4 linked regions of the Arabidopsis thaliana genome follow. The protein of the gene in region 4 interacts with the protein of the main gene of each other region in a pairwise test. Each region holds a gene or a part of one and is shown on either strand. Other genes may lie near its edges.

Region 1 (4,860 bases), on a different chromosome or scaffold from region 4:
GAAGAGAAGTCAGGAAAGTAAGTTAGACGAATACTAATCAGATAACTGTCTCTGCACTAATGCTAAGAATAGCAAAGTTTTCTCTCTCTCTTACATAAGGACTTGTGGTCTAACTAAGAATCAGAAAGAGTAACAACCCATTTCTATTATTAGTTCTAGTGGAAGCAATCAATCGCATGCATCTATAAATATGAATAGTCAGGCATAGTAAGGGAATAACTTAACCATCATCTACCAACGAACATAAGAAAGAAAGAAGCAAAGATGGCAGCATACCTGACGAACAGAGTTTTAATGTCTTCTCTGATGTTTTTTGTAATGACTGGTTCTTTGAACGCACAAGTGGCAGACATAAAAGCGATATGTGGAAAAGCGAAAAACCAATCCTTCTGTACGAGCTACATGAAATCCAACCCAAAGACCTCAGGTGCTGATCTTCAAACGCTTGCAAATATCACATTTGGTTCTGCACAAACAAGTGCATCAGAAGGTTTCAGGAAAATTCAATCTCTAGTCAAGACAGCAACCAACCCCACTATGAAGAAAGCATACACCTCATGTGTACAACATTATAAGAGTGCAATAAGCAGTCTCAATGATGCTAAGCAGAGCCTGGCGTCAGGCGATGGCAAAGGGTTGAACATTAAGGTTTCAGCAGCTATGGAAGGACCTTCAACATGTGAACAAGACATGGCGGATTTCAAAGTTGATCCTTCAGCTGTGAAGAACAGTGGTGATTTTCAGAATATTTGTGGCATTGTACTTGTCATCTCAAACATGATGTGAGAGTGGGATTGATTCAATCTCCCTTCATCATACTCATTAGACGATTACATTAAACAGTAATGCATAAATGTTACATATATAATCAAAGAACTTTTTTTCTCCAACCCACACATCAACAAGAACCTGGTTTCTTTTCAACTTGTTATTCCATATAACTCAACTCTATTGATAAAAGAAACTAAGAGACAACAACTAGTAATAGACTTATAACAAAGAGGAGTCTGAAATCAAACACTCTTAATAAACTCATGATCTTTTTACAGATCAAGTATAATACAACAGAAGGAAACAAACAAACAAACAAAAAAGAGAGAAATTCACAGAGAAACATGAGAACAATGCAGGAAAACTCAAAAGGAATATACTTTATTCAACATACAAGATGCATACCCGAGAAAAAGATCAATGATGAAAATGCTGCTACAAGATAATTAGAGAGAGACAGAGGTAGGCTTGTAGTCAATAACCAAAACTTTATCCAAGCTGCCAAGGAAGATGGTGGCGAATTCAACGTGAGCAGGATGAGCAATGTACTCTGCAACAGCTTCTTTACTCTCAAATGTGGATTCAAAGATGTGTGTGTAACCTTGATGCAGATTCTCAATGCTCACATCTTTTCCCCTAAAATTATACAGATCCAATAATTCAATAAGACAAGAGCAGATTCGTCGATTTAGTTGATTTAACTTTTCAAAAGATCATCAATGGAGATGGATTCTCTCTGAGGGAAATTAGATCAACACTAGGAAGGTCATGAATTTCCCCAAATTGCTTAGTTTTACATAATCATATTGAGTTGATGGAAGTGTTTTTCGGATCTCGAGCATATGTCTAACACTAGGAAGCAATTCAGAATCCAAATTTACTAACCAGTGGAAAGCTTTCATAGGTTCGATGAGATTGACGAGATTGGCGTAACCTTTGATGAGCTCTTCGATTTTCTCAGGACTAACCCCATCTTTGAAACTAGCAAGCAATACGTGCTTCACAGGTCCCTTTGCTTCCTCCATTTTTGATCCTTATCCCCTGCGAATGCAAATCTCCACTATTCCACTTATCAGCTCTCTAAAGTCTTAACTAAAAATGGACGGTCGAGATCTTTGATTAAAAGAGCGGATTTGCGACGTGCAAATACGATCGTCGGATTATTGTTTTCGTTCCAAAAAATTAAATAAAACGTCCTCAGATATAAACATTACCAGATGCTCCTGGTATACTCTGTATTGAATCTTCTTCTTTTTTTTTTCTTTTCTGTGCAAATTGAATTGAAGCTTTTTTAATTTATAAAGTGTTTGTAACAATTATGTTTACTTGATTAATCATGATAAGTGCGACAAAAAATGTATATAGAGATATTCTTACCACGGTGATAATAGAGTTGGACTGTCCAGCCGCACTTAACGCCGTTTTGCAGCCGTCCAAATAGCCTTTCTATAGAAATTGGTTAACACAAATCCATGAGATTGTTAGTGCATTTGAATCTTGTACATTCCGTCATATTGCCACAAACGCAAATCTGATCGCGCGTTCCATTTCTTGGGAGTGTGATTCAAGACAGAAGGTTTCAGTCTAAGTTTTACTTAGCACTTGGAGAGCCTTCATGACTTCACAATCAAGTGTCTAAGGAAAGTAAAGTTTAAATTTCATTTTGTATTTCTCGTTATTTTTCTGTCATTTTGTTTCTGTTTTAATAATTATCATATGACAAAAAAAAAAAAAAAAGGATATTCTTACCACTAAGTCACTAAAATGCATCTTTTTATAGAAGATATATGGTATGATGCAAATAAGTATCAAAATAATCATCTATGTTCTGTGTAACATGCATTAATTAAGCAAAATAATTTACAGCATTTAAGTTCCTCTTGAGACCAGTCTTATTTACCATTTCTTTTATTGAATTTTTAACCCAAGACTAACTCTCAGGAGCTTCCAAATAAAGACTTCCCTGTAATCACTTTTTTTTTTTTGTCACACTTTTTGAAAGCGAATACCCGAGAGCTGCAAATGAAACCCATTAGTCAAGTAATCTCTACTACATGTTCTCCTTCTAGATCCGTCTCTTAGATGCTTAGAGCCAACAAGCCTGCCTCAGTCTACAGGTTACCCGGTTTATACCATAACGAGGAATGCTAGAAAAAAGGGTGTCAATTTGGGGCCATTGAAGTCTGTGTTTAAGGCAGGAAGCTATTCCATCAGCTCAGATCAAAACCCGCTTCTGCGCTTATGGCGTACATCAATTTGGTCTCAAGTAGCTCTTTGCTGCATCATTAACAACAAGACATGCTTTATTTGCTTTTTCCAATTACAACACCAAGAGAAGCTATTTGGCAACAAAACAAGTCTCTTAGCTAAGCAAAACCAAAGAGTTTGTGTTATGAGAGGACAAACCTTTGATAGGGCGGAAGCTTAAGAAGATTCATACAAGTGGCTGATGTCGGTAGTCTATCAACTGATTCATTACTCGCACTACCGGCAGCCCTGATACACATTCCATCGAGGATGGATATTTTATGATTCTATTGTCCAGGGCCCATCAAAAGTCAAAACGATTGTGAGTCTGTGTATATTACCTCTGTATGCAGAATGCAGGTTCCAAGTATTTGAAACCCAGCAGTGGTCCTCGTGAGCAGCCTGTCACAAACCTGAAATTGAAAAATAGAGGTACCTCTTAGTTCCCTTAGAAAATTCATAGACTCCGGTAAATCATTGCGTACACAGACTGTAGTAGTAACTGCAAAGTTTGCTTACTTTAAGAACTTCTTCTGGTTTTCAGTTGAGAAGCTTTTCATAACTTCCCAGAACATATCGATCACATAATGTCCCTGTCAAGTGTCAACAACATAGCGATATAATCATATATAACAATACTCCAAAAGTGTCCCTACACTAATTCACAATGGCATTTCGGCTAACAGTGAAGAACCACTCACCGCGTGGTAGCCTCCAGCATAATTAGTGTTGTTTCGCAAGTCGTCTATATCCAAACTATCAACTGAACCAGATATGAGAACCTGCAACCAAAGCCCACAAAGGTAAAATTTCTCTCTTCATGCTCCTCGAGGGAACAACTAACAAAGCAAGTATAATTATACACTTAATTGGCACCTGAAGCTCATGTTCATTGAACATGTCGATCCATTCTTTCGGAATGAGTTGCTGAAACCCCCTCAAGAAATGAGAACTCTGCTGGCGTATCTGCAAATGAGATGATATCAATAGCTGTTGATTTACAGGGTGACCTCAGGTATGCCAAGATAAATGAGAGGTAAGTGGTTCCCCAGTACCTGAAAATTTAACCGATGATTGGAAACCAGATGAATGAAAGTTATAACATTCTCATTTGTAACTCGCATGTCTTGGCCCCCTGGAAGTAGCTCTTCCTCTGTCCTCTCTCCATATTCATTATTCAAAATAACAAAGTAAAGCTCCAAGTCTGAGATATCACCCTTATAACGCTGCAAATATCATAATGAATACATAAAAAGGTGTATAAAGCTAAGAAGCAAAAAAAAAAAAAAAAAAAAGAGCCAAAATTATCGTAGGTAGGTAAACAAACAAATTTCAGTTTCGAAACAAAAACAAACAAACAGATTTCAGCATTCTCGCACATCTATGCTAGCAACTATCTCCCCGTTCTACAAAGCAACAATTAAATAGAATGTTCAGCAAAACTCACCTTCAGAAATATAAGGTGCCTATACAACTCAGGATCCAGAGAAGGCAAATCGTTCAAATAGTTGTACCTAGCCAAAGAACAATAGAAGTTTCACAACATGTTCAAAAAGTCTATGCGGGCTTAAAAAACGAATGAAGTGACAGGAAATTGAGGTAGAAATTAAATTTACATACTTTTGTTTCAGTTTGCTGAGGAAAAACGTTGCAAATGGTATATCAACAAGAATCCCTTCAAACATAGCCTGCAACAAGATAACGGGAAAAAACAATTATGAGTCTTATATAACAGATGAAAAGCAACTTTAAATAACGACAAAAGGACAAATTCAATAATTTTTCTAGGAAAACATCAAGTTATACGCCTACTAATTCTATTTGCATGAAAAACATTGCGAG
Region 2 (4,912 bases), 1.1 Mb from region 4:
ATAAGGCAGTACAAGCTCATGTGGGATCTTATCAATGCAATGAGGAAGAAGAAGATGCTAAATGTAGAGACTTTTTGTATCGTGATGAGGAAGTATGCGAGGGCGCAGAAAGTGGATGAGGCGATTTACGCGTTTAATGTGATGGAGAAGTATGATTTGCCGCCGAATCTTGTGGCGTTCAACGGGTTGTTGAGTGCGTTGTGTAAATCCAAGAATGTGAGGAAAGCACAGGAAGTTTTCGAAAATATGAGGGATCGCTTTACGCCTGACTCCAAAACGTATAGCATATTGCTTGAGGGATGGGGGAAAGAACCCAACTTGCCCAAGGCAAGAGAGGTCTTCCGGGAAATGATTGATGCGGGTTGTCATCCGGATATAGTGACGTATAGTATAATGGTTGACATACTTTGTAAAGCTGGAAGAGTTGATGAAGCTCTTGGCATTGTGAGGAGCATGGATCCAAGCATTTGCAAGCCGACCACTTTTATCTATAGTGTGCTTGTACATACTTATGGAACTGAGAACCGGCTTGAAGAGGCGGTTGATACTTTCCTCGAGATGGAAAGAAGTGGAATGAAAGCCGATGTAGCAGTTTTCAATTCATTGATCGGTGCATTTTGCAAAGCAAATAGGATGAAGAATGTGTATAGGGTTTTGAAAGAAATGAAGAGTAAAGGTGTGACGCCTAACTCCAAGTCATGTAACATCATTCTACGCCATCTAATAGAACGAGGGGAGAAAGACGAAGCTTTTGATGTCTTTAGGAAGATGATTAAAGTGTGTGAACCAGATGCAGACACTTACACGATGGTGATCAAGATGTTTTGTGAAAAGAAAGAGATGGAGACAGCGGATAAAGTGTGGAAATACATGAGGAAGAAAGGGGTGTTCCCTAGTATGCATACATTCTCGGTTCTTATTAATGGGTTGTGCGAGGAGCGTACCACTCAGAAAGCTTGTGTTTTGTTAGAGGAGATGATCGAGATGGGGATTCGACCATCGGGTGTAACGTTTGGTAGATTAAGACAGCTGCTTATCAAAGAAGAGAGAGAAGATGTGCTCAAGTTCCTTAATGAGAAGATGAACGTTTTGGTCAATGAGCCGTTGTGTGATTGACTTTCTTAGATTTCCTGTGAACCACAGATTAGTACGCTAACAACAGCTGATCCTAAGCATTTGGCTCAGGCTCCATTTACCTTGGTAAAGTTGTAATTTAAATTGGAATCAGCAATTGTTGCGGTTTCGATACATGAGATATTAAAATATAGATGATACAAACCATTTGATGTGTCTGGTTGCGGATGATACGATGTCGAGGCCAAAAGACACAATTCAGTTTCTCCAAGAACATAAGACACAACTAAAATGATTATCTCTATGATTATAAGCTGCAAAGGAAACAGACCTAATACTCACATCAAGCATAAGATGTGGATTTTGAATTTAGGGTTTCTAAGTATCACAATTCATGATGTTGAAAGTGTTTTTGCATCTTCAAGTGCCAAACAAATCTAAGTCCAGAATAATAAGCCGTATCAATTCCATTATCAGGTTCAGTGTCTCTTAGACTTTGACTCGGTTTTGGATAGCATGTATCCAGAGATCTTGTTCACCTCGTACAATAGCCCAGCAGAGAACAGGAAACTGCAGGCAGATCAAGAAACAGCATCACAATCACCACACCGCTTTTAGCAAGAGAGGAATGAAGTAATTAAACAGGGTAAATGGATATACCAAGTAGAACTAGTGAATTTCCACTTACCAGGTTGTGATACAAACCCGATGAACCGTGCCAGCAGCGATAAGAGCTATGATTTCTGCAAGAATGACTGCCATGGAAACAAAAATTGGCTTCAATACATTGCAAACCCTTGTTGAGTAATGAGTATACCCACTTTCACACAGCAGAAGCAGGAGGGGGCAAACAAATTCGAGCCATTTATCACTGTGATTCTTATATAGGTGATACAGAAAAAGACATAAGAATGAAAAAAATTTGGTTCCAACAACTGATTCACTAAAAGAGTATTTGTAACACATAAAAGTAAGAGTTTTCGTAATATGTTATCAGAAAGTAAACTTAGAGCATCATCATCAAAGATTCAAAAATTCCACTCTTAAGCCCTCAAACTTCTGAAGTGGAAGACAAAATGGGGTAGAGTAGACACCCAATGGTTTTGATCGTATGAACAAATTTGATTTCATGAAGAAGCAAGGACATACCTGCACCCCAACCACTCTTGATGCCAGAAGATTCCTGAAAATTTCCAATGAACTGAAAGTAAAAGAAACCGCATCAACCAAACTGTCAACAACAAATGTAGATGAATTCGAGAAGAAAACAAAAGATCTCAAATTTAACGACACAGATCAACATTGGAGTTGTAAAGGTAGTGCATTTCCATGAAGACGAGATCAAGTTGAGGAATTCTAAGGAACTTACAGTGAGAGAAAACAAAAAGAGGAGAGAGCTTGTGAATCCACCAAGGATCGTGAACAGCTCTGAAGAAGCTAATTTTCCTCTGTAAATTTCCTGAAGCGAGAGGATCACTGTAAACACAATAAGAGACCCTAACATTGATGTTCCAACAGCTCCTGCCATGCTTCTAAATCCAAACTAAACAATCAAATTAAGACCGTAACAGATAATCAGACACGAATTCGTACAAAACTGATCGATTGATCCACTGGTCGGAAAACGAGAAATCAACAGATAGAAGAATGTGATGAGTTACCTTGAAAGCCCTAAAGATCAGATCTTCTCCTCACGCTCGTCACTGCCACAGTTCCACTTCGAAGACCGGCAAATCGGAAACAAAGGAGATCGAGAAGAGATTTTAAGAAATGGGAAAATTGGGAATTCGCATTGACCATAAAATACATGTTTATCGTATATATTACATATATACCCTGACGGACCAGTCGCGGTTTCAAACGCTGTCGTTTTATACAAACAACTGACGTAGTATTGTACATGCCACTTGAGTTTGGGTTTAATTAATAAACCAATGCAGAATACCAAACGTAGCATTGTACCGGGTTTGAGGTTTTGCTTGCATTCACTGATTCATAAACCCTAAACCCTACTGTTGCTTGAACTGGAAGTACAACTTACCGTCGAATCAACCGACGATGAGATTACTACTTCCAAATCTCCTTCTACTTCTTCCGGCTACCTTCTCCGTCGAAGGCCATTATCCACCGCCGCATCTCTGCTTACAAAGTTACAAGTACTATCTCAACAGCAGAGTCTAACCCCTCTAATCTTCCATGCCGATTACTCTCAATTGTCTCCGAACCAAATTGGCAGAACAATCCATCTCTAAAATCTCTTACCCCTTCTATACACCTTCTCATGTCTCTTCTCTGTTTTCACTCAATCTTGATCCTCAGACAGCTCTCAGTTTCTCGGATTGGATCTCTCGGATACCAAACTTCAAGCACAACGTTACTTCATACGCGTCTTTGGTTACTCTTCTCTGCAGCCAGGAAATACCTTATGAGGTGCCTAAGATCACGATCTTAATGATAAAGAGCTGCAATTCAGTGCGAGACGCTTTGTTTGTTGTTGATTTCTGTAGGACAATGCGTAAAGGTGATAGCTTCGAGATTAAATATAAACTTACTCCTAAATGCTACAATAATCTGTTGAGTTCATTAGCTAGATTTGGATTAGTCGAAGAAATGAAGAGACTTTATACTGAAATGTTGGAGGATTTGGTTTCTCCAGACATATACACGTTTAACACATTGGTTAATGGGTATTGTAAGCTTGGATATGTAGTAGAAGCAAAGCAGTATGTGACTTGGCTTATTCAAGCTGGATGTGATCCTGATTATTTCACATATACTTCTTTTATTACCGGACATTGTCGAAGAAAAGAAGTCGATGCGGCTTTTAAGGTTTTTAAGGAGATGACTCAGAACGGTTGCCATAGAAATGAGGTTTCTTACACTCAGCTTATATATGGTCTATTTGAAGCAAAGAAGATCGATGAAGCTTTGAGCTTATTGGTGAAAATGAAAGATGACAATTGTTGTCCTAATGTTCGAACATACACAGTGCTTATAGATGCTTTGTGTGGATCAGGACAGAAGTCAGAAGCTATGAATTTGTTTAAGCAGATGTCAGAGAGTGGCATTAAGCCTGATGATTGTATGTATACTGTGCTTATTCAGAGTTTTTGTAGTGGAGATACACTTGATGAAGCAAGTGGATTGCTAGAACATATGTTGGAGAATGGGTTGATGCCAAATGTTATTACATACAATGCATTGATCAAAGGTTTTTGTAAGAAGAATGTGCACAAAGCAATGGGACTGCTTAGTAAGATGCTAGAGCAGAATTTGGTTCCAGACTTGATAACTTATAATACATTGATCGCTGGACAGTGTAGCTCTGGTAATTTAGATAGTGCATATAGATTGCTTAGTTTGATGGAAGAAAGTGGATTGGTTCCAAACCAGCGTACAGTATGAGGAATATCGTTAAGTGAGAAGATTTGTAATGGTCTTCTTAGATGTTACTACAAGCTGCAAAAGTATGAGGAAGCTGCAAAAGTTGTGGAAGATATGATATGTAATGGTCATTCACCACAACTAGAGTTTTGCAAAATGTTGATTTGCAAGCTGTGTGAAGAAGGAGAAAAAGAGAGAGTCAACTCGGTTTTCGAAAAACTGCTTCGATGTGGATATTGCGATGATGAAATCGCTTGGAAAATCCTCATTGATGGTGTGCTTAAACAGGGCTTTGTAGAGGGGTTTTGTGAGTTGTTCCAAGTAATGGAAAAAAGTGGCTGCAAATTTAGCTCTCATACACGATCGATGCTTAGTAAAGGTCTTCAAGGGAAAGATTGATTACATTTTACCAACCACTTTAGTCACTCTGATTGGTTATACATTCTAAATTTGG
Region 3 (4,322 bases), on a different chromosome or scaffold from region 4:
GAAAAATGCAATGGTCGACGAATTTTTGTAGACGGGAAGAAAAGGGATGGGTGCGAAAAGCTTGCCGTTAAAACCTTCGAATTTAAACATGCGTGTCGTTTAGTTCCTACTTTCCATGACGTTGGGCCATTGGCATTTAGGCCCGATACGTAACTGACGTGTCATTTTAAAAACGCATGTGTTTTTAAACACGTTGGGCCGTTGGCTTTTAGGCCCGATCCGAAACTAGGCAAAGTGATTGTGAAAAAGATTCATGATAACAATCAAACCAATATAAATCGATTTATTCAGACTTGGAGACATTTTAGTGATGCCAATATAAAATAATCATGTGCACTAAATTTGAAATAATTAATGTGTATGGTAAACTAGATTAGAATTAGTTCTAGACTTCTAGTGGTCGAGATTTGTTCATAAGCTTTATGCTCGGACACGTGAGGAACATACCAAAATGTTCGAATCTATTATGCCATACACTTATTTTAATCATTTCTTCTCTATGATAGATTGCTCACCTAATTTATATATAATCTAAGAATATACTACTTAGCTTTAACGTATTTTATCCGATAACGAATTCATGATACCAAAAAAGTTCTAAAACAAAAGAGGCATCTTGTATTATTTATAGTATTTCTAACTAAAACACAACACTGATAACATTTAAATTGCTTTGTTCCGTTTAATTAGTAAACAAATGAAAAGCTGTCGCGTCGGTGGTTGGGTTTCATTCGGAAAGATTTAAAAGTAAAGCGCACGGATTTTAAGGTCGTTCAACATTTAAATTTTTTTTGAAAGTAAAATCATATATCAATGCAATGTGTAATCTTGTAACGTATAAACTAATGAGAGATACCTAAAGAAAAGAAGCCTCGCGCCTAAACAGAAACATAAGATTAAAATAAGTAATATAGAAGCATAAACTTAAGCAAGATTTTATTCCTCGTGAAAATATTACATTTTGTAATTTTATTTTCTCTAGTATTAAAAAAGGAACAACTAATTAACGGAAATACTTAAGGAATTAAGAACAGAGAGGTCTCATACTTAGTCAAGTTTGGTGAAGCTATCAAAGAGAATGTCTTCGTGTTGTCCGCCGACGACATAGTCAAGAATCCCTTCCGCCGCCACTTTTAAGCCTGCGCCTTCGCCTGGGATGATGGTAGACGAAACCGGGAGATCGGAGGTGCGTGCGAAGAAGAAAACGGCAGCGAGAAAGAGAGCCGTGGAGAGAAAAAGTGGCCAGAAGTAAGATAGAACGGTGAGGAAACCGGGAGAATAAGCGACGAGAGCTACGGTGAGGAGAGATAAAACAAAGGCAAACACGATTTGCAACTTGAACTTCAAAAGCTTCTCCCGGAACTCCATCTCCGATCACCGACAAAGATCTGTGAGTCTGTGACTGTTGTGTTAACACGAGAAAGATGGAGTGAAGAGAGATAGAGATATATCTAAAAGAGAGATAGTACAATGCTAACTCTCTCTCTGTCTTTCCTCTGAGTGTCTATACGTAAAGAAATAGGAAAGATTCTCTGTGACAAGGATAACGTCAAAATCTCAAGTTATTTTGTTTTTAAACGCGTTTGAAAATTATACTGTTTTTCTTCTAACGAAAATGATAATATATTTTTAAGATTTTTATGTTACTTTGTTCTGTGACTTGTATGAACATTTTTTTTTTTGTAAAGTTGTCGTAAAAGTCAAAGAATGAAACATTTTCTGACATAAATAGTAAATCGTACAAAGCTAAAATAATGATAAGAGAGATATTTTCAATTCAGTTATAATGTTGTCCGTTTTGCATGATTGAATTTTTAACTTTGGATTCAGGCCGACCAAAATATGGGCCTTTAAAAGCCCGATTTGGGTTGCTAACAGACGACTACTCTTTTGTTAGAACTTACACGAGCCGCCGTTTCTACTTTCTAGCTCTGGCAAAACGGCGAGGCATTTTCTTTAAACATATCAACATACAATTAGCAGCATCTCTACAAGTTTACACTTCTCTCATAAAACCCAACTCTACGAATAAAAGAGAAGGTGTTTTCATTTATCCTCTTCGTCTAATTGCATCCAAACTCTCAGCAGAGACAAATACAGCTTGCTTTTAACGTCACAAGGCTCGAACCAGACGAGCTGCAAATGCTCCATCTAGTGAGTGTTTCACTGGGTTTGATAAAAAGAAGCCTTGTGAGGTTACAAAACTCGACGGTACAAAACTGGTTACTGGATCTATGGTGAATTCCTGTGAAAGCAGAGAGACTATTTGTTAATATCAACATCTGAAGGAAAGCAAATGGATTATAAAGATTCTTACAGGATGTCTTAAGAGAAATGCTTCGACCCTTCCTTCATTTTCCTCGGGGTCTATGGAGCAAGTACTGTATACCAACACCCCACCGTGCTTCACCAGTCTTTGAGATTCAATCAAGAGTGTCACAGATAAAAGTATCAGATAAGTCGCATATTAGTGTTTCAGAATTAATCAAATGACTCATCAAAATGTATGTACAGAGTGCATACTTGGAGGCAGAATCAAGAAGCTCATCCTGCAGTTTAGTGAGCTCTAACATGTCCTCAAGTTTACGGTTCCAGCGCAAATCCGCTCTCTACAAAATACAGATTAATGGGAACAGGTTAATCAGATCAGGTCAATTCAACTAGCAATGTTAAATCTTGCTGGCGAAACAGTTAGATAAACTTTTCTCATGTTAACCTTGGAGAGGACGCCGAGTCCAGAACACGGGGCATCAAGCAAAACTTTGTCATATTGTACTTCATTGGTTTCCTAAAACACATTAAGTTGGAAGGAAGCATGTGAGTAGCTTACAAACTTGGAAACTTCAGATACTCAAATAATGTTAACTTACAGCAAAGACACGAAGATCAGAATGAATGGTTGTGATAAGTCCATCAACTTGGTGTGATTTTGCTGTCTCACCAAGAATTCTTAGCCGTCCTTCATTCACATCCATAGCATATATCATACCTATAATCGATTCGAGTTTGCCAGTTTGAGGATGGAATCAGTCAAGTATAGTAGAAAAGTTTCTCAAAATAGATAATTTAATTCAACATTAATGTACAATAGAGGAAAATAAGGGGTCTTTGTAATATTACCTTGGCCTTTCAAGCAAGATGCCATGAATAGGGTCTTTCCTCCAGGAGCAGCACATGCATCCATTATCCTCTCGCCTGGCTGAGGTTTCACCACTGAGACTATTAGTCCTGCAGTACCAGATGTGGGGAGATATTTAGATATCAAAAGAACAAAAGGATTTTGGATAAACTTAAATCTGTTAACAGCATGAAAAATTAATGAAGAGGAGACTGTATCTTTTCTCAGGAGCAGTCCAAATAATTACAAGACCAAACTGACCTGCACTCTCGTCCTGAACAGAACAGATGCCTTCTTTGAGTAAACCAGCTTGCACAACGGTCTGTTAAAGAAAAGGCCCATGATCAATTATGAAACTTATCAGTAAAAAAACTAGGATAAGAAAATTGCCAACAAGAGGACAATTCACGGTTACATTACAACACCTGCAAGCCTGTTTTGATGCGGACAAATTCCTCCAAATGTAAGGATAGCTCGTGTGGAACCTGCAGCATAGGAAAGCCATAATTGAAGTAAGAAACTAAGCATTATAAGAAACAATCATGTGCCTGGTTTTACACAAACACGATGATTTCAACTGAATAAAGAACGAGAAACATTAAACGAAAAAAACCTTTAAACTGTTTAGACGCTCCACAAGGTCTGCTCTTGTAATGTCCCTTCCCGTATTGGCCCTGATATTATTAGAAATAGTATTATCTGTCTGACAGCTAATAACTTATCTTTCCTTCTGTGAATACAAAATGTTATGGAGATAAACCTTAAGCTAAATCCAGGATCATTGTTATTCCATATCATTAGCTTTGTGGCTTCATCCAACCCAAGATACTTTACCCATCGTCTAACCATCCACTAGGAAGGAAAGGAAACAAAATGAGAGTTTCTTTCATCAAACAGGAATGAAGCCTTATCGCAGTTGTTCAGCAATACATAGTTGTTCAGCACTACATAGATATCCTCATAGCTAAAACCAAGTAATCTAGGAGCTTCACAAGTTCAAAGTATCGATTTCATACCACCAACTAGCTCTAGCTTCGAATTAAAACAGCATGGAAAGATGAGGCTGTAGCTATACAAACTTACAACGGGATGTGAATGAAGAGTAGCAAGTGCACGTGCCTGTGCACGATCATCCCCTTCCACTTTGGGTAATGGAAGGGCATCTTTTTCCTGCAGATCCCTACGTCAGAATTCATAGAAGCTT
Region 4 (4,896 bases):
TTTCTCGGGCGAGATTCCTCAAGAAATCGGAAATCTGAAGTGCCTGCAGAATCTTGATCTGTCTTTCAACAATTTCTCTGGAAACTTTCCAACGAGTTTGAATGACTTGAATGAGCTGAGTAAGTTCAACATCTCATATAACCCTTTCATTTCTGGCGCGATACCAACAACAGGACAAGTAGCAACCTTTGACAAAGACTCCTTTCTTGGAAATCCGCTGCTGCGGTTTCCTAGTTTCTTCAACCAATCAGGGAACAACACGAGGAAGATTTCCAACCAAGTCCTAGGAAACAGGCCAAGAACTCTTCTTTTGATTTGGATTTCCTTGGCTCTTGCATTGGCGTTTATTGCATGTTTAGTGGTATCAGGTATTGTACTTATGGTTGTTAAGGCTTCAAGGGAAGCAGAAATCGATCTCTTAGATGGGTCGAAAACCAGACATGACATGACTTCCAGTTCAGGTGGATCATCGCCATGGCTATCAGGAAAAATCAAGGTCATTCGCTTAGACAAATCAACTTTCACATACGCTGACATTCTGAAAGCAACCAGTAACTTCTCTGAGGAGAGAGTGGTAGGTAGGGGAGGCTATGGAACTGTTTACAGAGGCGTATTGCCTGATGGAAGAGAAGTTGCAGTCAAGAAGCTTCAGAGGGAAGGCACAGAAGCAGAGAAAGAGTTCAGAGCTGAAATGGAAGTTCTAAGTGCCAACGCATTTGGAGATTGGGCACATCCGAACCTCGTGAGGCTATATGGATGGTGCCTAGATGGGTCAGAGAAAATCTTGGTGCACGAATACATGGGAGGCGGGAGCTTAGAGGAGCTCATCACAGACAAAACAAAACTTCAATGGAAGAAACGTATTGATATAGCCACAGATGTAGCAAGGGGATTAGTGTTTTTACACCACGAATGCTACCCTTCCATCGTTCACAGAGACGTCAAAGCCAGTAACGTTCTTTTGGATAAACACGGGAATGCGAGAGTGACGGATTTTGGACTAGCAAGACTCTTAAATGTAGGAGATAGCCATGTGAGCACAGTGATTGCAGGCACAATCGGGTATGTAGCTCCCGAGTATGGACAAACTTGGCAAGCCACCACAAGAGGAGATGTTTACAGCTACGGAGTATTGACCATGGAACTCGCGACGGGTAGAAGAGCTGTTGATGGAGGAGAAGAGTGTTTGGTCGAATGGGCAAGACGTGTAATGACAGGTAACATGACAGCCAAAGGTTCACCAATAACCCTGTCAGGGACCAAACCAGGGAACGGAGCTGAGCAAATGACTGAGCTACTAAAGATTGGTGTGAAGTGTACAGCTGATCATCCTCAGGCAAGACCAAACATGAAAGAAGTTCTAGCTATGTTGGTTAAGATATCCGGTAAAGCAGAGCTCTTCAATGGCTTATCTTCACAAGGTTACATAGAAATGTAAAAATCTTTCTTTCTTTTCTTCTTTCAGATTTATTATACAGAACAACAGAGTTTTCTTCTTCACCATTTTTCGTTTCATTGTTTCTGATTCTTCTTGTACACAGAACCTCATTGTTATCAGACAGATAGGGATAGAGAAAGGTAGTTTTGTTCGCAATGTACAGAGACACAATCTGAAAATAAAGATCTTCTCTTCTTCTTGTCTATATTGAGTGTAAACAACGTTGGCTCTATCTCGTGTTTCTTACAAGTCAGGAAACATACAGGAAGAAAGAAACAGTACAATGAGTCAGGTTGCAATCTCTCTGATCAGCCAGTTTAAGCTCGGGAAGGCAAAATAAAGGACGAGAAACGACGGGACAGCCAAAGCAAACGTAACAAAGAAATAAACCCCGAGAACTGCAGCACTCACAGGGATTGCATATAAAGCCATCAACAGGAATATGACTACCAGAGGAAACTTAGCCAACAAATGAGCAACAAGAGCCATTGACTTACGTACCGAGTCATGGAGCCTCCCAGTTCTGAAGAATCCTCTGGTCACACCATTCCACCAGCTGCGATTGTCCAGCAACCCTTCATCACCCAAGGCGGTATTACTCACTCCATCACACCTATTTCTCAAGTCTCTCTGCCCTGAAGCAACCCTTTTGTTGTCGCTGGGTGCCTCCGATCTGGAGCCATTCATGCTTTCTACCATCCACAGAAGGTAAAAGTTCTTGGAAGGAAATCTGATGGTTCCATTGCAAACCAGCCTTAAAGAGAGAATATTGCACCAAGGGCAAGCAACGAAGAAGGGAAGCTGGAATGGTAAAGCAGAGGATTTGATGACAATGGCACGTTGAAGCCCTAAGAGACAGTACTTGCAGATTGTATGACCACACCATAAGACATAAGGTACATTCTCAACAACGTTGAATGATTCCCAGCAAATGGGACACTCCAATTTTTCTTCCTTTGTTGTCTTTCTTCCATCTCCTGATCTATCTAAAGTAGCTCTTCTTGGTTTTGTAGCAGCTTCTTCTCCCTTCGATATAAAACCTTCTCTGATCGATTTTGAAGCTAAATTCCACATAGCAATGGAGGGATCCACAAAGATAATCACTTTGAATCTTTCTCTCTGCAACAAGAAAATCACACACACATACACTACATAATCAGATATGAGATTTACAATCCAACCCCCAAAGATTGGACCGAGAACATACAAAAAGTAACGAACTTGATGAAACCCAAGAAATCATTAACAGAATTACAGAAAACGAAATACACTTACAAGAGTTTATCCGGTCATGAAGATGAAGATCATTGCAAAAACAAAAAATGCAACAGCTACGTCGTTGAGTTATATAATATCTCCGAAGCTCTGATGTAACCAGCGAGAAGAAAACCGGCTGAAAAAGAGACACGCGTCGTAAAACATGGTGACTCTGAAACGCCTTTCAATGTTTCCGCCGCCCCCACCGATTTCCTCACCTTATCCGTTTCTGTTTTCAGGTTTAACTACCAAAACGCATCGTTTCACTATACCGCCAAAATTAAACTACCGGTTTAGTTCCGTAATTTTCTATTACCGAAATCGGTTAAAGTAAAATAGTAGTTGTCGGTGAGAGTGAGCTGTACGCGTTTCTTCTTCTCCTTGTGCGCTTTCTGGATCGAACGAAGCATTTTCCTCCGACAATATATTTTTAAGTAATGACAATGTTTCCGCATTATTGGGTTTAATTCCATTTTTAAATTAGGGTTCTTCAGATCGACAAATCTTTCTCTTTCTCTTTCCCCGATCGGAATCATGCTAAAGATCTGAACTTTTTCTCAGATCCGTGAATAAGTAAGTACGGAGAGACAGAAACATACTCAGACTGATCTGAGGAAAACAAAGTTGATGGTCGCAAACCTGTAAGTGAAATCTATAGAGAGAGACGTTGAAGAAGAAAATGGGTCAAGATGGTTCGCCGGCGCATAAAAGACCATCCGGAAGCGGCGGAGGACTTCCGACGACGACGTTAACCAACGGTGGAGGAAGAGGTGGTCGTGGTGGTTTGTTACCTCGAGGTAGACAGATGCAGAAGACGTTTAACAACATCAAGATCACAATTCTCTGTGGTTTCGTCACAATTCTCGTCTTACGTGGCACTATCGGTGTTGGTAACCTAGGAAGCTCAAGCGCCGATGCAGTTAACCAGAACATCATTGAGGAGACTAACCGGATTCTAGCTGAGATCCGATCTGATTCGGATCCAACCGACTTGGATGAGCCTCAGGAAGGTGATATGAATCCCAATGCGACGTATGTTCTAGGTCCTAAGATCACGGATTGGGATAGTCAACGTAAGGTATGGTTGAATCAGAATCCTGAGTTTCCTAGTACTGTCAATGGCAAAGCTCGAATCTTGCTTTTAACAGGATCTCCTCCTAAGCCTTGTGATAACCCCATTGGTGATCATTATCTTTTGAAATCTGTGAAGAACAAGATTGATTATTGTAGGCTTCATGGAATTGAGATTGTGTATAACATGGCTCATTTGGATAAGGAACTCGCTGGCTATTGGGCAAAATTACCAATGATTAGGAGGTTGATGTTGTCTCATCCAGAAGTTGAGTGGATCTGGTGGATGGATAGTGATGCTTTGTTCACTGATATACTGTTTCAGATCCCTTTGGCTAGGTATCAGAAGCATAATCTAGTGATTCATGGTTATCCGGACTTGTTGTTCGATCAGAAGTCGTGGATTGCTTTGAACACAGGTAGTTTTCTGCTGAGGAATTGTCAGTGGTCGTTGGATTTGTTAGATGCTTGGGCGCCTATGGGACCTAAAGGGCCAATTCGTGATGAGGCCGGGAAGGTATTGACGGCTTATCTGAAAGGTAGACCAGCTTTTGAGGCAGATGATCAGTCAGCATTGATCTATCTCCTGCTTTCTCAGAAAGATACATGGATGGAGAAAGTGTTTGTGGAGAATCAATACTATTTGCACGGGTTTTGGGAAGGTTTGGTTGATAGGTATGAGGAGATGATAGAGAAGTATCACCCGGGATTGGGTGATGAGAGATGGCCATTTGTGACCCATTTCGTTGGGTGTAAACCGTGTGGTAGCTATGCTGATTATGCAGTCGAGAGGTGCTTGAAGAGTATGGAGAGGGCCTTTAATTTTGCAGACAATCAAGTGCTCAAGCTGTATGGTTTTAGCCATAGGGGATTGTTGAGCCCCAAGATTAAGAGGATCAGAAATGAGACAGTCTCTCCTTTGGAGTTTGTAGACAAGTTTGATATTCGCAGAACGCCAGTGGAAACCAAACCACAGAACTAGAGGAACACAAGGAGAGGATAGGCTCAGCTCTCATGAGATTGTGGACACGTATAGGTAAATTATATGACACTCACAAATGCAAAGCAAATTTGTTTGCCTGTACTTGCTACTTTACTGTTTCTTCTGCTTCTCTTTTTTTTGTTTGTTG

The links.
Region 1: the proteins of AT1G74370 (region 4) and HS1 interact in a protein complementation assay, tested with the Arabidopsis thaliana proteins (one large-scale study listed by BioGRID).
Region 2: the proteins of AT1G74370 (region 4) and AT1G77350 interact in a protein complementation assay, tested with the Arabidopsis thaliana proteins (one large-scale study listed by BioGRID).
Region 3: the proteins of AT1G74370 (region 4) and AT3G13175 interact in a protein complementation assay, tested with the Arabidopsis thaliana proteins (one large-scale study listed by BioGRID).

Annotation. Positions count from the first base shown.
Region 1 is NC_003074.8:5,879,254-5,884,113, reverse strand, and holds HS1 (heat stable protein 1), read right to left. Parts: upstream 2,196-4,860; 5' UTR 2,149-2,195; intron 2,050-2,148; exon of another isoform or gene 2,038-2,049; 5' UTR 1,797-2,037; coding exon 1,657-1,796; intron 1,408-1,656; coding exon 1,218-1,407; 3' UTR 914-1,217; downstream 1-913. Other genes in the region: PMEI2 (pectin methylesterase inhibitor 2), read left to right, coding at 265-786; UPL6 (ubiquitin protein ligase 6), read right to left, coding at 2,982-3,048, 3,178-3,267, 3,360-3,431, 3,538-3,611, 3,720-3,800, 3,895-3,984, 4,074-4,244, 4,466-4,532 and 1 more.
Region 2 is NC_003070.9:29,068,187-29,073,098, reverse strand, and holds AT1G77350 (keratinocyte-associated-like protein), read right to left. Parts: upstream 2,875-4,912; 5' UTR 2,736-2,874; intron 2,618-2,735; 5' UTR 2,603-2,617; coding exon 2,444-2,602; intron 2,276-2,443; coding exon 2,224-2,275; intron 1,830-2,223; coding exon 1,763-1,829; intron 1,645-1,762; coding exon 1,554-1,644; 3' UTR 1,200-1,553; downstream 1-1,199. Other genes in the region: APPR6 (Tetratricopeptide repeat (TPR)-like superfamily protein), read left to right, coding at 1-1,116; AT1G77340 (Pentatricopeptide repeat (PPR) superfamily protein), read left to right, coding at 3,271-4,479.
Region 3 is NC_003074.8:4,234,213-4,238,534, forward strand, and holds AT3G13175 (uncharacterized protein), read right to left. Parts: upstream 1,603-4,322; 5' UTR 1,369-1,602; coding exon 1,048-1,368; 3' UTR 863-1,047; downstream 1-862. Other genes in the region: AT3G13180 (NOL1/NOP2/sun family protein / antitermination NusB domain-containing protein), read right to left, coding at 2,114-2,245, 2,318-2,414, 2,524-2,609, 2,717-2,788, 2,871-2,989, 3,121-3,228, 3,380-3,440, 3,544-3,603 and 3 more.
Region 4 is NC_003070.9:27,956,474-27,961,369, forward strand, and holds AT1G74370 (RING/U-box superfamily protein), read right to left. Parts: upstream 2,928-4,896; 5' UTR 2,714-2,927; intron 2,558-2,713; 5' UTR 2,513-2,557; coding exon 1,727-2,512; 3' UTR 1,613-1,726; downstream 1-1,612. Other genes in the region: AT1G74360 (Leucine-rich repeat protein kinase family protein), read left to right, coding at 1-1,438; XXT5 (xyloglucan xylosyltransferase 5), read left to right, coding at 3,375-4,748; AT1G74385 (uncharacterized protein), read right to left, coding at 4,252-4,497.